3 linked regions of the Arabidopsis thaliana genome follow. The protein of the gene in region 3 purifies or fractionates together with the protein of the main gene of each other region. This does not show direct contact. Each region holds a gene or a part of one and is shown on either strand. Other genes may lie near its edges.

The links. Proteins that work in one complex are often made in the same cells at the same time.
Region 1: the proteins of GME (region 3) and RANBP1 fractionate together in Arabidopsis thaliana (co-fractionation; one large-scale study listed by BioGRID). This does not show direct contact.
Region 2: the proteins of GME (region 3) and SIRANBP fractionate together in Arabidopsis thaliana (co-fractionation; one large-scale study listed by BioGRID). This does not show direct contact.

Annotation. Positions count from the first base shown.
Region 1 is NC_003076.8:23,679,563-23,683,926, forward strand, and holds RANBP1 (RAN binding protein 1), read right to left. Parts: upstream 2,374-4,364; 5' UTR 2,153-2,373; coding exon 2,001-2,152; intron 1,872-2,000; coding exon 1,720-1,871; intron 1,633-1,719; coding exon 1,507-1,632; intron 987-1,506; coding exon 757-986; 3' UTR 501-756; downstream 1-500.
Region 2 is NC_003070.9:2,191,179-2,195,709, reverse strand, and holds SIRANBP (Pleckstrin homology (PH) domain superfamily protein), read left to right. Parts: upstream 1-1,873; 5' UTR 1,874-2,021; coding exon 2,022-2,176; intron 2,177-2,296; coding exon 2,297-2,448; intron 2,449-2,554; coding exon 2,555-2,680; intron 2,681-3,096; coding exon 3,097-3,350; 3' UTR 3,351-4,031; downstream 4,032-4,531. Other genes in the region: MAPKKK13 (mitogen-activated protein kinase kinase kinase 13), read left to right, coding at 1-1,431.
Region 3 is NC_003076.8:10,861,486-10,866,676, forward strand, and holds GME (GDP-D-mannose 3',5'-epimerase), read right to left. Parts: upstream 3,462-5,191; 5' UTR 3,241-3,461; intron 2,560-3,240; exon of another isoform or gene 2,541-2,559; 5' UTR 2,540-2,540; coding exon 2,130-2,539; intron 2,044-2,129; coding exon 1,947-2,043; intron 1,870-1,946; coding exon 1,740-1,869; intron 1,654-1,739; coding exon 1,521-1,653; intron 1,443-1,520; coding exon 1,235-1,442; intron 1,143-1,234; coding exon 987-1,142; 3' UTR 531-986; downstream 1-530. UniProt on the Arabidopsis thaliana protein: Catalyzes a reversible epimerization of GDP-D-mannose that precedes the committed step in the biosynthesis of vitamin C (L-ascorbate), resulting in the hydrolysis of the highly energetic glycosyl-pyrophosphoryl linkage.

The DNA.
Region 1 (4,364 bases), about 13 Mb from region 3:
TTTAGTTTCGACTTTGATGTTCGGTATTGTTTGTTTTTTTCGCCATTTCTAGTAAATAGTAATAATATAGTTGTGCTACAAATTGTAGCCTACAATGTACAATTGTATGTAAGAAATAGTTGGCACATACATCAAAGTATCAATTATCATACATCCACTTACTAGTGCTATTGTGAAGATAAACGTTTAGAAAAACACATACAAGGGTACTTAGAAATGAGGCATAAAAGATAAAATCTGATATTCAATGCAGGAACAGCTCATGGTCAGAGGAAATTAAATGGTGAAAGAGAGATAGAGAAGTGCTTAAAACATGGTGTTATTTGTGGTGGAGCCTTTCGAATTATAGGTTTAGGGTCCATACAAATTTGTTGGGTCCAAAATTAACTAACTAGTTTTTACTTCTTAGAAGCACCACATGATTGTTCCCTTTGCTGCAACACCAAACATGTCAATTACAGATTGTGTAACCTGCTGGCCACAAATCCATTTCGGATGATTGAAGATGAAAGCAAGGATACTAATTTGATGCCGAATACTATTATCTTAAACCAAATTGACACAGTAAAGAGACGACACAATAGTCAAACACTTACACAGCAACAACATAAAAAAAAATCTTAAGATTCTCTTTCTCTAACACAGCGCAAAGACTCAAACTTTTGAAGCTACCATCATGTTCAGTGCCAAGTATAATATATTAAAATAAAGCAAAGCACACTTAGTGATGCCAACAACCAATTTTAATTTGATCACTTAAGTGCTTGCCTCTGTTTTCTTCTCTTCTTCTACCTTCTCCTTTTTTGTTTCTTTATCTTCCTTTGCAGGCTCTTTCTCTTCTGCTTCCTTGGCTTTCTCCTCACTTATATTTTCCTCAACCGAAAGATTCTCTATTAAACCAGCAGCCTCGTCGCCCTGGGTGCTCTCTTTCCCTACTTGCTGGCTTTCAGCTATTTCAGTGAACTTCTCCATAAATGTTTTGCAATCTGTTGATGCAACACTATCAGTTAGCCACTCGAGAATCTAAAACCAAAAAGACAGATGCAGACCCTAGGATATTAATCTCATAGATTATGTCAGCGTCTAATTTAACATAGATACGATTATGGTAGTTGTTTAGCACAACTTAAGGATCATGGAACCCTTTTGTTCATTTGTTTAGTGATAAGACCCACAACCGCAGAGACCAACAGAGTCTTGGAAAATGGCCTGAGATGTTTATTCTCAAGACAACAATGTCTCCCTAAAATTATAAAATGAGGCAACATTATAAGTATTGCCACTACAAAAGCAGTATTCCATTTCAGTCTTGAGCTATCTATATGGACTTGATGAATCACAATTCATGGGAGACTTAAATCATCACAACTAGAGTCTTATAAAGAATACCTTCCAAACCATCTTCCCTGATTCAACTATCATAAATTAAACATCGAATACTACTAAATGTACCCACGTTACTCTCAATCAAAAACAAGTATACGAATTTCACAAGTATAAACTTACTCTCAATGGAAGCAAATCGAATGCAGAAAAGCTCATCTTTCAACTCGCCGTCGGAGAAATCAGTAGCGTGCCATAAACAAGACTTTTCATTCCCACTATGTTCCTGAACACTCATCCCAGACGAAACTGCATAATTTCAACAAAAGATACATAAAGTTTAGCCCTTTCGAAGAAAAAAAAAAAAGATCTTCTTCGAGAGAGAATCAAACATACTGAGGTGATTGGCACAGATCTTTAGGGTTTTAGATTGTCTCATAACAAGACGAACTTTTCCAGTTTCCTTATGCTTCAATAACTTCACAGTTCCAGCTCCTCTCTCCTTCCATTGGTTCCCTTCTTTATCGAATCGATACATCTTCGATTTCCTACAAAATCATAAACCCAGAAGAATACATCTTCTATCAAAAATCCGACACTCATCTTCTATCGAAAATCCAACACTCACTTTAACCAGAGGCAAGGAAACTAGAATATTAACGGAACGAGTAACATACAGATCGAGGACGGCGTCTTCATCTTCTTCGCCGGTGGTGACTGCAACCTCTTCAAGCCTAACGATCGGAGCTACCTGAGCTCCGGTGTCTTCATCTTCGTTGACTTCGGTTTCATCTTCACGGTTCTCACGCTCTGGCTCAGTGCTCGCCATCTCTGTATTGAAACTTGAAAGTGTGTGTGTGTGCTCTGCAACTTCTTTGGTTGTTCAATTTGGGAGAAGAAGTTTCGAGAACCAGAAGAAAAAACTGGAACCAGGGTTTTTAAACTTTATATCCAAAGTTAGGCTTCTGAATTATCTCTAGTGGGCTAACAGGTCATTATCTCGGTCATTTAAGCCCATTAAGGCCCTATACGACAATTCATGATTTTGGTATGTAGATGAAGCTAGAAAGTGTGAACTCGTATCGACAATATAGAGGATGAAACATCATGGCTAAGGAACGCCACAGCTCAAAGACCTGTAATGAGTAATGTACCATATTTAAATTATGTATAATCTCTTTACAAAACTAAAAGTAATACAGATACTCCACATTTATCTTGGAGTAGAATGTAGATGATGCTCTATGAATGTACTCCATCCTTAACACATACGAAAAAAATTTGAACTGCTTTTTTTTTCTCAGTCGTGGACTGCCTTTGTAGTGTTAAGGTAGACCACCGTGACAATCTTTATATATGAACGGAGGTGGATTATTTATTTATTAATTTTTTTTTTTTTGAGAGGTGGATTATTTACAAATGGATATTATATAATGTAATCAATCATGCTTTGATATCAAGCTGATGTCACTCGACACTAGTATTCAATCAACTACTGCCGATGCTAGTACAATGTAAGCTGAATATGAACATTTATAAATTTTGGAAACGTGTTAAACATTCAATTAACAAATTTTTTTTTTGACCTGTTTTTTATCGTAACAAAATACCACTTGTTTGCCTTCTCGTTACAGTAGGAAAAAGAAACGTTTTCATTGTCGACGACTCAAAGAGTAGAACCTGAAGTCCGATAACAGTCGATAGGTAGTAAGATATTTTGACCAAAACATCGTGAATTTATTGAAATGCTGAACGAAAACTGATACAACATCATTTCATGGACTCGAGAACTCTTATTACTGGCACGGTAATATTGAATATTGATGCTAAAGTCAAAAGGGACCCGCTTAGTCATTTGTCTGATTTCCAATTTTAAAATCCGTTTTTGAATGAAGCTGCGTTGTTTCAATGACAAATCTTCGTGTTTGTATAATTTAGGGTCTGAAATAAATAGTCAACAAGCAAAACCCAAAACGATATGAACTGGAAGGTTGTGTCAGATTACAAATGAATCATCAAAGGGATTAAAATCCTCAGACAGGGATAACTGTTTTTTCATATTTGTTCTCATCATCCACAATCTAATTTCATTAAATCAAAAAGAGAAAACATAATTCCTTAGAATTCAAAGATTAGCCTCAGCAGTCCTAGTCAAGAAGATAGTATATCAACACACTTATTGAAATTTCAGTAACCATTAATATCTAATCTTCATCAGCCTCTTTATCAGATTAAACAAAAAAACATTAACCAACAAAAACAAATTGAAGTTGTTAAATCATATTAGAAAGAAGAACTCAGTCCCTTAGATGTTCATAATAATGCGATCATTACCGCAATCATTACAGGTCTGTAAACTGACTCATCACTGTTCTTCCAAAAACTTATACAAAAACCCAAATCTAGATTTCAATACGAATAATATATAGCTGCTCAGTTGTGATTCTCCCAAATCAACATCAGCAAAAATCGTATAAATACGAAATCACCGAAGATTCATAGGGAGAATTATATAAATAACGAAAGCAACACGATTGATTTTGCTTCAAGGGAACGAATCATATGGGAACGAACAAATCCACATAGACTATCTGATGAAGCCAATCTTTCAATAAACATAAATCATGATAATCCTAGACAAAAGGCAAGCCCAATAACAACAATAGAGAGAACACCAAACCCTATGAAAACTACAGGATTAAAAACGAAGCTTTTCAGTGAATTGATTTTGGATTGCTTCTTCTTAAACTCTAAAGTTGGATTTCCTCTATTTATAGTAGAGAGGTTTTGAGAAAACCCTAAAAGGCTTTTTTCCAATAAGCCCATCGAATGTATTTTTTTAAAAGCCCAATACTGTTTGTTTTGGGCTTGCCATTGTTAAATTTCTTGTTACTATGCTTTGTTTGCATGGAATAAAAATTATAATTCATTTGAAAGAAAATTTCCTCAAAAAGTTTATACAATTGACTGATTCCGTGATTAATCTTAAGATTCTCTCTTCGAATGTGTTAAAATATTACTAACCGAATAATTTGATGGAA
Region 2 (4,531 bases), on a different chromosome or scaffold from region 3:
GTTCGTGGTGCGTGTATCGGCAGAGGTTGTTTCGGTGCAGTTAGTACGGCGATCAGCAAAACCAACGGTGAAGTTTTCGCCGTGAAATCCGTGGATCTCGCCACGAGTCTCCCCACTCAATCAGAGTCTCTCGAGAACGAAATATCTGTCTTCCGCTCGCTAAAGCCTCACCCTTACATCGTGAAGTTTCTCGGCGACGGAGTCTCGAAAGAAGGAACGACGACGTTTAGGAATCTCTACTTAGAGTATCTCCCAAACGGTGACGTGGCTAGTCACAGAGCCGGAGGAAAAATCGAAGACGAGACTCTGCTCCAGCGTTACACGGCGTGTCTTGTCTCTGCTCTCCGCCACGTACACTCTCAAGGATTCGTTCACTGCGACGTCAAGGCGAGGAACATCCTCGTCAGCCAAAGCTCCATGGTCAAGTTAGCCGATTTTGGGTCGGCGTTCAGAATCCACACACCGAGGGCTCTGATCACGCCACGTGGAAGTCCGCTTTGGATGGCTCCGGAGGTGATCAGACGAGAGTACCAAGGTCCGGAGAGTGACGTCTGGTCTCTCGGCTGCACGATCATCGAGATGTTCACTGGGAAACCCGCTTGGGAAGACCACGGAATTGACTCGCTGAGTCGAATCAGTTTCTCTGACGAGTTACCGGTTTTCCCCTCGAAGTTGTCGGAAATCGGCCGTGATTTCCTAGAAAAGTGTCTGAAGCGAGACCCGAATCAGAGGTGGAGTTGCGATCAGCTTTTGCAGCATCCATTTCTCTCTCAGTGTCACAACTCATCTCCGACTGAGTCATCTCCGCGTTGCGTACTTGACTGGGTCAACTCGGGGTTTGACTTAGAAGAAGAAGAAGAGGAAGTAGGGAGATCAGAATTCGAAGACGCGGCGAAGGCAATAATTTGTAATTTGGCGACGACCGGAGGAGTAATTTGGGAGTCAGATGGTTGGGTGGAAGTTAGATGCCACGCTTCGGAAGAGGAAGGGACAACAATGGAATATTCGGGATCCACAAGGGTAGAATCGGAATATAACACATCATCGGATCCAAACGATGACGTGGCTGGTGACTCGGCGATAATTGACGTTTCTATGTCTCAGAATTTACCGCCTGGAAACGGGGGATCGGCGGCGGCGCTGCCATATGAATTTGTGGTGGTTTTACATTTATTAATGGAAATTATGGTTTATACTACATGTATCTTTAGGGAAATTGTTCTCACTATGTATTTGTTGTATCAGTATAATCAAAGCAATAAACTCGAAACGTTGTCTTTTAATCACAGCCTCAAGTTTTGTTTGTTTGCACATGTGATTCGGATCGGACAAAACTATCTTTTACGCGGTGAGATGAGATCGAGTGTCTTAATTACGAGCCATTGCCTTATATTGATAACTCTCGTTTACAGCCAAATAGTTGTATTTTAATGTGAAAAAATATTGCGACAAATGGTTTTGGTTCGTAAGCTGGTGGAAGACTCAAGAGGCCAAAAGAGACTTTGGTTTTATGCTTTAGAAGACTTTTGATTCATCCTAATAAGTATTCGGATTTTGGAGCATTTAAATGAATCATAGAGGGAACCGGACCGGTTGAAGATGGTTGTTTGTTTCGACTAGGCCTGAAGGACCAAGGTTATGCATGTACGATTATGTATCAAACTGAACGAAGTCGTTACATAGAGTTTAGCTCAAGCATATCATCATATTCTTTTTTCGATCTTTAAGATTTTTCTCTAATCTCTATGCTATAAATCATTAAGATTTCTCTAAAAAAGGATTAATTTCCCTTGAGATAAATAGCTTTAAAAATAACCCAGATACAATGGGTTTATATGGGCCATATATATTTTTTGTCATAAGAAATCGGCCCATAGTTAGCTTCAATTCAACGCCGTATAACTATGAGTCGTTCCGATTTCCTGTGTTGCGAAACCCCCAAATTCTCTTCTCTCTATCTCTCTCGCGTACGCCGCACCGTAGCGACCAATTGAATCCACGAGGAAATCTCAGTAAATACTATGGCGACCAACGAACCCGAGCACGAGCACAGAGACGAGGAAGAGGCCGGAGCTAACGAGGATGAGGACACCGGAGCTCAGGTCGCTCCGATCGTTAGGCTTGAGGAGGTTGCCGTCACTACCGGCGAGGAAGACGAAGATGCCGTCCTTGATCTGTAAGTGTTTTTCTTAATTGGTGTTTATAGTTTTTCTGATCTAGGTCAACTGGATCTGATCGAATTTATAAGGTTTAGCTTTTGGTGTGTTTGACTGAATTTTTGTTTGTGAATCTAAAGGAAATCGAAGCTTTATCGATTCGATAAGGATGCGAATCAGTGGAAGGAGAGAGGAGCTGGTACTGTGAAGTTCTTAAAGCATAAGAACACTGGGAAGATTCGTCTCGTTATGAGGCAATCTAAAACTTTGAAGATCTGTGCTAATCACTTCGGTATAATTTCTATTTGGACTACTTTGTGTTGTTTTTGAGTTGCATCTGGATCTGTATTTAGGTTACTGTTTCCTTATCTAGTCTTATGCTTCTGATATTTCTGCAGTTAAATCGGGCATGAGTGTTCAGGAACACGTTGGGAATGAAAAGTCATGTGTGTGGCACGCTCGTGACTTTGCTGATGGTGAACTCAAGGATGAGCTTTTCTGTATCCGATTTGCTTCTATTGAGAGTGAGTATGAAACCGAATTTTGTAATGGCTTGTGTTTTGCCTTATTTAGTCTCAGTTGGTTTGATAGATTCACGGATTAGATTACTGATGGATCTTGACCTTAGCATTGCTATATGGCTACTTTGTTAATTGGAGGTTCTCAAAGCTTCCATCATAGGCATGCGTTATTGGGTTCAGGAAATATCAAAATAAGTACTGTGGCGGTTAGGTTGTGGTATTGCATTGTAAAGAGATAATATTGTTCTTGAGGTGGTCAAGTATGTATTTAGGCTGCAACTAATTTGATATGCCAACATGGTCGACTGTTTCTTTTTTTATTTTGGGTAAATATTATCAGTAGTTTCTGAGCTGTTGATCATATTAACCGGGAAAAGTAGAGATGCTTGTGGGTAATCAAATCTTATTTTCCTTGTCAGATTGCAAAACATTTATGCAAAAGTTCAAGGAAGTTGCTGAGTCTGAAGAAGAGAAAGAAGAGAGCAAAGATGCCGCTGACACTGCTGGCCTTCTTGAGAAATTGACTGTGGAAGAGACAAAAACGGAGGAGAAAACCGAAGCGAAAGCTGTGGAGACGGCAAAGACTGAAGTGAAAGCAGAAGAAAAGAAAGAGAGCGAGGCAGAGAAATCTGGTGAAGCAAAGAAAACAGAAGAAAGTGGTCCCTCAACATAAGAAGCGTCATCATTTAAGTTGCCAAATCCTGGCGAGGTAATTAAGCCTCGAAATGTTTTGATGCATCATGAGTCTACCATTGTCTTGGCACTATCTATCTATACATGTTTTGTCGAGTCATATCAAGTGGTTGGGGGATCGCTTGGGGTCGGGTTTTACTGAATGCTGAGTCGTTATGGGTCTAATAGTTTTTGAGTCTAAAGTGTCGGGTGATATGAGAGATTTGGGTGAAATATTTTTTCATGTTGGTTATCTGAAAGAGTACATTGGTTTCATTGTTTTAAGTTTTCTCATGGATCCTTTTTGGATGGTCTTATTTTGAGGATACAAATGTGTTTGTCCATGGACAAGAATCAGAAGTCTCCATTTTTTTTTTTTCAAAATTTAATGCATGTGATTTTTTAATCTTAAGGTAATTGCCAATTGTTTGACAAAAAAAAGGTAATTGCCAATCTACTTTGCTCTCTTGTGTTAGTCGATGCTAGTCTTGACCCTGATAAAGATCCAAAATGTATATTAACAGTATTCATAAAATTCTTCAGTTATAACGAACTGTTCACGGAAAAAAAATGACATTGTACTATACTGTGCTAAAATTACCAAAGCATGATTTATATAAATCATATCCAGTAAGACCATATGTGAATGAATAACAATGGATTATGCTTAGGTTAAGATTTTATTAAATTTATAACACTTTTAAAATAAATTTGGAATAATACAAACATATAAACCATTCCTATAACACCATATTTAAACATAACAATGAATTGCTTGGATTTCAAACTTTATTAAATTTGGATTTTAAATTTTAATTTGATTGAATTATACCCCCTTAATTGGATAAATTCAAATATGTCAACTTTTTTTTTTTGTAAGATTTTTTTATGGAAAAAAAAATTGATTATTCACTAAAAAGATGACAGGTTACTTATAATTTAATATATGTAAACCCTAAAAAGAAGAAAATAGTTTCTGTTTTCACTTTAGGTCTTATTATCTAAACTTCTTTAAGAAAATCGCAATAAATTGGTTTGAGTTCTAACTTTAAACACATTAATATTTGTGTGCTATTTAAAAAATAATTTACAAAAAAAAAAACAAATTGACAGAAAATATCAGGTTTTGTAATAAGATATTTCCTGATAAATATTTAGGGAATATAACATATCAAAAGATTC
Region 3 (5,191 bases):
ATGATATAAAAGGTGATTTGGGCTCATTTGAGAAGCGACACGAAGAAGAGTGAGAGCAAGAGCAAAACCACAACAAAAAATTGGGTGATTGTTGAGTTGATGATTTGAAATATATCGATTGTCTTATTTTAGATGCATAAATGAATATTTGTAGTATGATGCTAACGTCAAAGATTTTTGAAAAAACACTGATAACATATATATTCAAAGAAGCTAACAATTGAGCCGAAAGTTGCTTAATTGTTTTGAGATTTTACTATGCTTTTCCTTTTGATTTAGTGGTTTTTTTCTTAGTTTTGGATTAAGTTTAAGCTTTATTTCCTTTGATATTATTTAAAATAATAAAAAAACATTATATGTTATGTTATAATAATATCGTCCTTATCTCATATTTGTTTTTTGATAAAATGTATATTCAAAATTTAAAATAGTAAATACGTTATTTTTCGGATCATCTCGAGTCTAAGACCAAATCTTAGAACATGGATAAAAATCTCAAATTTTAGATATTTTGCTGATCGGGAGAGTTGCATAAAAAAAGCAATATATAAACTTAAAACCTTATGATTTATTACGTGTGACATTTTTGACCGAGGAATGGGATAAAGAAGTGGATGGAAGAGAAAGAATGGTGAGTCACCGTGAGTGATCCCTAACCTCTAGAGATGTGTGAATAGATGATAAGATGCAAGAAAAAACACAAGCCACTTACTTGTACTGGTCCGTGAGAGGACCACGACATCAACTTGACTATGATGATAAACATACATACTGTGAATGAAAGGACCACAATAATATGATAACAGACTTAACAATGCAAGCAAACTTTTTCAACTAAACATAAACAAGGATTAGCAGAATAGAAGGAACCAAAATCCAAAACACTTATTATTGCTTTTTTAATAGGAAGCTACCTAAAAATATATCTAAACATTTTGCTGAACTTAAAAGGCCATATTTGAGCTTGACTTATACTTTGGTGAACTTCACTCTTTTCCATCAGCCGCGCGGAGTGAGCCTAGCTGAACCGGTGCTTGAGTTCCAACCACCTTTGATGACCCGTAAAGCGACACATCGCTTCCCTTTGCTTTCTCTTTCTCGATCTGTTCCTTTATCCAGAAGTAGGTTATTCTAAGCCCCTCCTGTTTAACGATTATGGTCAAAACAATATCAGTAATAAAAGAATTAGATTATTATCTTGTCTTTGAGCTACTTAAGTAAATAATGTTGGTACCTTCAATCTCATATTAGGAGCCCAACCAAGCTTTTCTTTGATCAGATTGTTGTCTGAGTTACGACCACGAACACCTTCCGGGCCAGGAATGTGGTGAATTGGAAGCTTCTTTTCCTCAAAGCTGAGAACCATCTCAGCCATCTCATTCATGCTCACCATCTCATCGCTTCCGATGTTCACCGGCTCACGGAAATCTGATTTTGTCAACCTATAAAACAAAAATGACGAAAATATCAGCCAATTACGTCTAACATACAACTTCATCAACATCAGGAGATACCCTCACCTGAGTACACCTTCAACACACTCATCGATAAAGGTAAAAGAACGGGTCTGAAGCCCATCTCCCCACATCTCAAACCTATCAGTGGAAGTCTGAGCCTTCCTACAGAAAGCAGCTGGAGCCTTCTCCCTTCCACCTAAGTTGATCCAAGCAAATATTAATCCCAATAGTAAACAACTAATCATTCACACAAAGTACGGAAACTGTTTATCTGTATACTACCTTTCCATGTTCCAAAAGGACCATAAATGTTATGGAACCTTCCAATTCGACACTCAATACCAAAATCTTTGTTGTAATGCTTACACAACTCCTCCGTAGCAAGCTTCTCCAAACCATAAGCATCTTGAGGCTATATCAGCATCAAAACATCACATAAGAAAAGACTCATAAATCTTTAGCAAGAACATATAAAAAATAATCACAAACCTCTGCAGGCCAAGCATCTGACTCCTTCAAGCTCACATTAGTAGTCTCCAACTGCTTAAACTCTGGATAGATACAAGCACTCGAAGCATAAAAGAACCTAAAGCAAACAAAAAATCCAATCTTTTTAACTTGTTTTAAGAAACCGTAAACTGCGAAAACCGAAGAAAACAAAATCTAACTAACCTCTTAATCCCATTGATCCTAGCAGCCTCAATCATATTGAAACTAATCATAGTATTATTATACATAATCACAGAGTGATTACTCTGGATAAAACCCATACCACCCATATCAGCAGCTAAGTTAAAAACATGATCAACTCCTTCAGTAACTTTGAGACAATTCTCCATAACCCTAAGATCAACAAGATGGAACTCATCACAGAACATGTCTTCAGTCATGTGTTCATTCTTTTTCCAGTCAGAAGCAATCACGTAATGACCTTCGTGCTTCAAACGACGAGCAATGTGAGATGCAATGAAACCTCCAGCTCCTGTTATTGATATCTTGAGATTCTCAGATGGCCAATATTGCTCTCTTTCTAGCTCCTTGTATGTGTATGCTCCATAGTCTGTTCCATTGGTAGTTCCCATTCTACATTAACAAAACAAATCTGTTAAAAACAATAAGATCTCTCATGCAAAAGCTAGACATCACTGTAGAGTCCTAATTTGTGATAAATTTCTATAAAAAAGATTTGGGATTTAGAGAGTTTTGACAGAGGTAAGATTATTGATGCATTGGATTCCGGCGTAAGTTAGCGAAAAACACAAAACTGCGAGGCGTAAGTTAGCCAAAAACACACAAAATTGCAAAACAAATCTGTTAAACACAATAAGATCTCTCATGCAAAAGCTAGAAATCACTGTAGAATCCTAATTTGTGATTAATTTCTGTAAAAAGATTTGGGATTTAGAGAGTTTTGACAGAGAATGCATTGGATTCGGTGTAAGTTAGTGAAAACACACAAAATTGCGACGCTTAAGTTAGCCAAAAACACACAAAATTGCAAAGAAATATGTTAAACACAATAAGATCTCTCATGCGAAAGCTAGAAATCACTGTGGAATCCTAATTTGTGATAAATTTCTGTAAAAAGATTTGGGATTTAGAGAGTTTTGACAGAGGATGCATTGGATTCGGCGTAAGTTAGCGAAAAACACAAAATTGCGAGGCGTAAATTAGCCAAAAACACAGAATTGCGAAATTCGGATCTCAGAGAAGTTTTGATTCAGGAATCTGGGATTTTAAAACCCTAGATTAGTGGAATTGTAAGGAAGATTGGATCTTTTACCTGAGGAAGGTTTTGGAGAGTTGGAGAGATCGAAGAGATAATGCAGAGAAGAGTCAGAGATTTGAGGAAGAGGAAGAGTAAACTTGTATTTATAGAGAGAGAACAGAAGAAGATGAAGAGGAAGATGGAGAGAGCAACACCACTCGTTGTTTTAGTTTTCCAACTCCTATTGGTATTTGTGCCTCTTTCTGTTAAATTTATTTTATAACTAATAAAATCCTTCGAAAAAAAAAATTAATACTTCTTTTGTAGAGAGTTTTTTAGAAAATAGGAGATTTTATAGAAGATTTATTACTTTTTATTAGGTTTGATGATTTATATTATGCATATTATTTTTACTATTTGTTGAATCGTATTTAGATAGATAATAAGAAATGTTTTAGTTTAGAAAAAAAAAAAAACTAAATATTTTCTTTATTGGTGCACCAAACAATTTCATAATTTTTTTATTTTCTAGCTTCAATATATAAAAATATTTGTAAATAATAAATATATGTATATTCTATATATTAATTGAGAAGTTTTTTTAATAAAATATTTATATTGGCGTGTTATTAACGAAACCGTCATGTTGTGATTCTAATCCATTTAAATAATTGTCCAAATTTTACTAGATTATTACAGATTTTTCAATTAGTCTTATTCATACATATATATAATACACATTAAAAGGAAATTCTTATAAAATTCAAATAATTAAGCAATTAATCTTTAAATAATTATTATTTTGAGAAAAATTACTTTAATTTTTGTTATTTTCTAATTAACTAAAACACTATTTAACATATTTTGTATTTGCAAATAATAGTACATCTTCATATATTAAGAAATGTGTTGTAATAAATTTTTATTAAATATATAATTATTTTGTTATTTTAGTGATATATACTGTATTGAATAATTATAATGTACACATAAAAATATAAAATATTATTTATGTTTGTTTATGACATAAGAGCAACCATAAGTCCATTTTTGGAGTTTGAAACTGAAGAGTAAATTAGAAAAAAAAATCTTAAATTAAAATATAATATAAGTTAGATTGATGTTAAAAATTATTTATATAGTTATAGTATATATATAACCTAAACTATATTAGTTGGTTGAAATATTTGAAATAATAATGATTTTAGTAGTATTTTAAAGTTCATAACAATCAAACGGTCGAACCGAGATCAAACTGATTCGAGTTAATGGTCAGGTAGATTTTTATTAAACTTGTAAACTATCAAACCGTATATAAAACCATTAAAATGATTAAATACGTTTGCGAGAAATATAAATATTTAGAGATAGGCGTAATTCTCATTCAATTTTATCATGTTCCATTATATCTTACTCGTTCTCCAATTTATTTCTCATAAGAGAATGCATTTCTAATATGAGAAAAAATTTGTATTCCGATTAGAAACAGAACGTGATGGAAGCAAAAATTCTCTATATCCTGTTTGGGACAAACACAAATATAATTCATGTATATTTTTATATGATATGATATAATAAAAATATTACAAAATTAATTGACTTCTTTCTTCTTATTGTTTAATATTTTGTTCATAAATATTAAATTACATTTGTTTATTTTTAAATTTTAACTATTATAAAGCATACTATAATAACATTTATTATTTTGAGCATTTTTATGCTGTATAAATTGAAAACACATGTTACATATTTGATTGCAAACGTTAATTTGCTTAAATTGTAACTTGTTGTAATCTAAAAGCTATGTTTTTATCCCGTGTTGGCTCCTTCTATGTCGTTCCTTTTTCGTCATTCCTATTCTCGTTATATTACATTAAATATCATGTTCCGAGTTCATTTTTACTTATCTTTAAACACAATACCAGATACAGCTGTAACTTTTGGGGATTAACATATGCTTTGTTAAAATTTGTAAACATACCATAAATTAAAACATGAAAACAAATTGAAAAAATAAATGATCTAT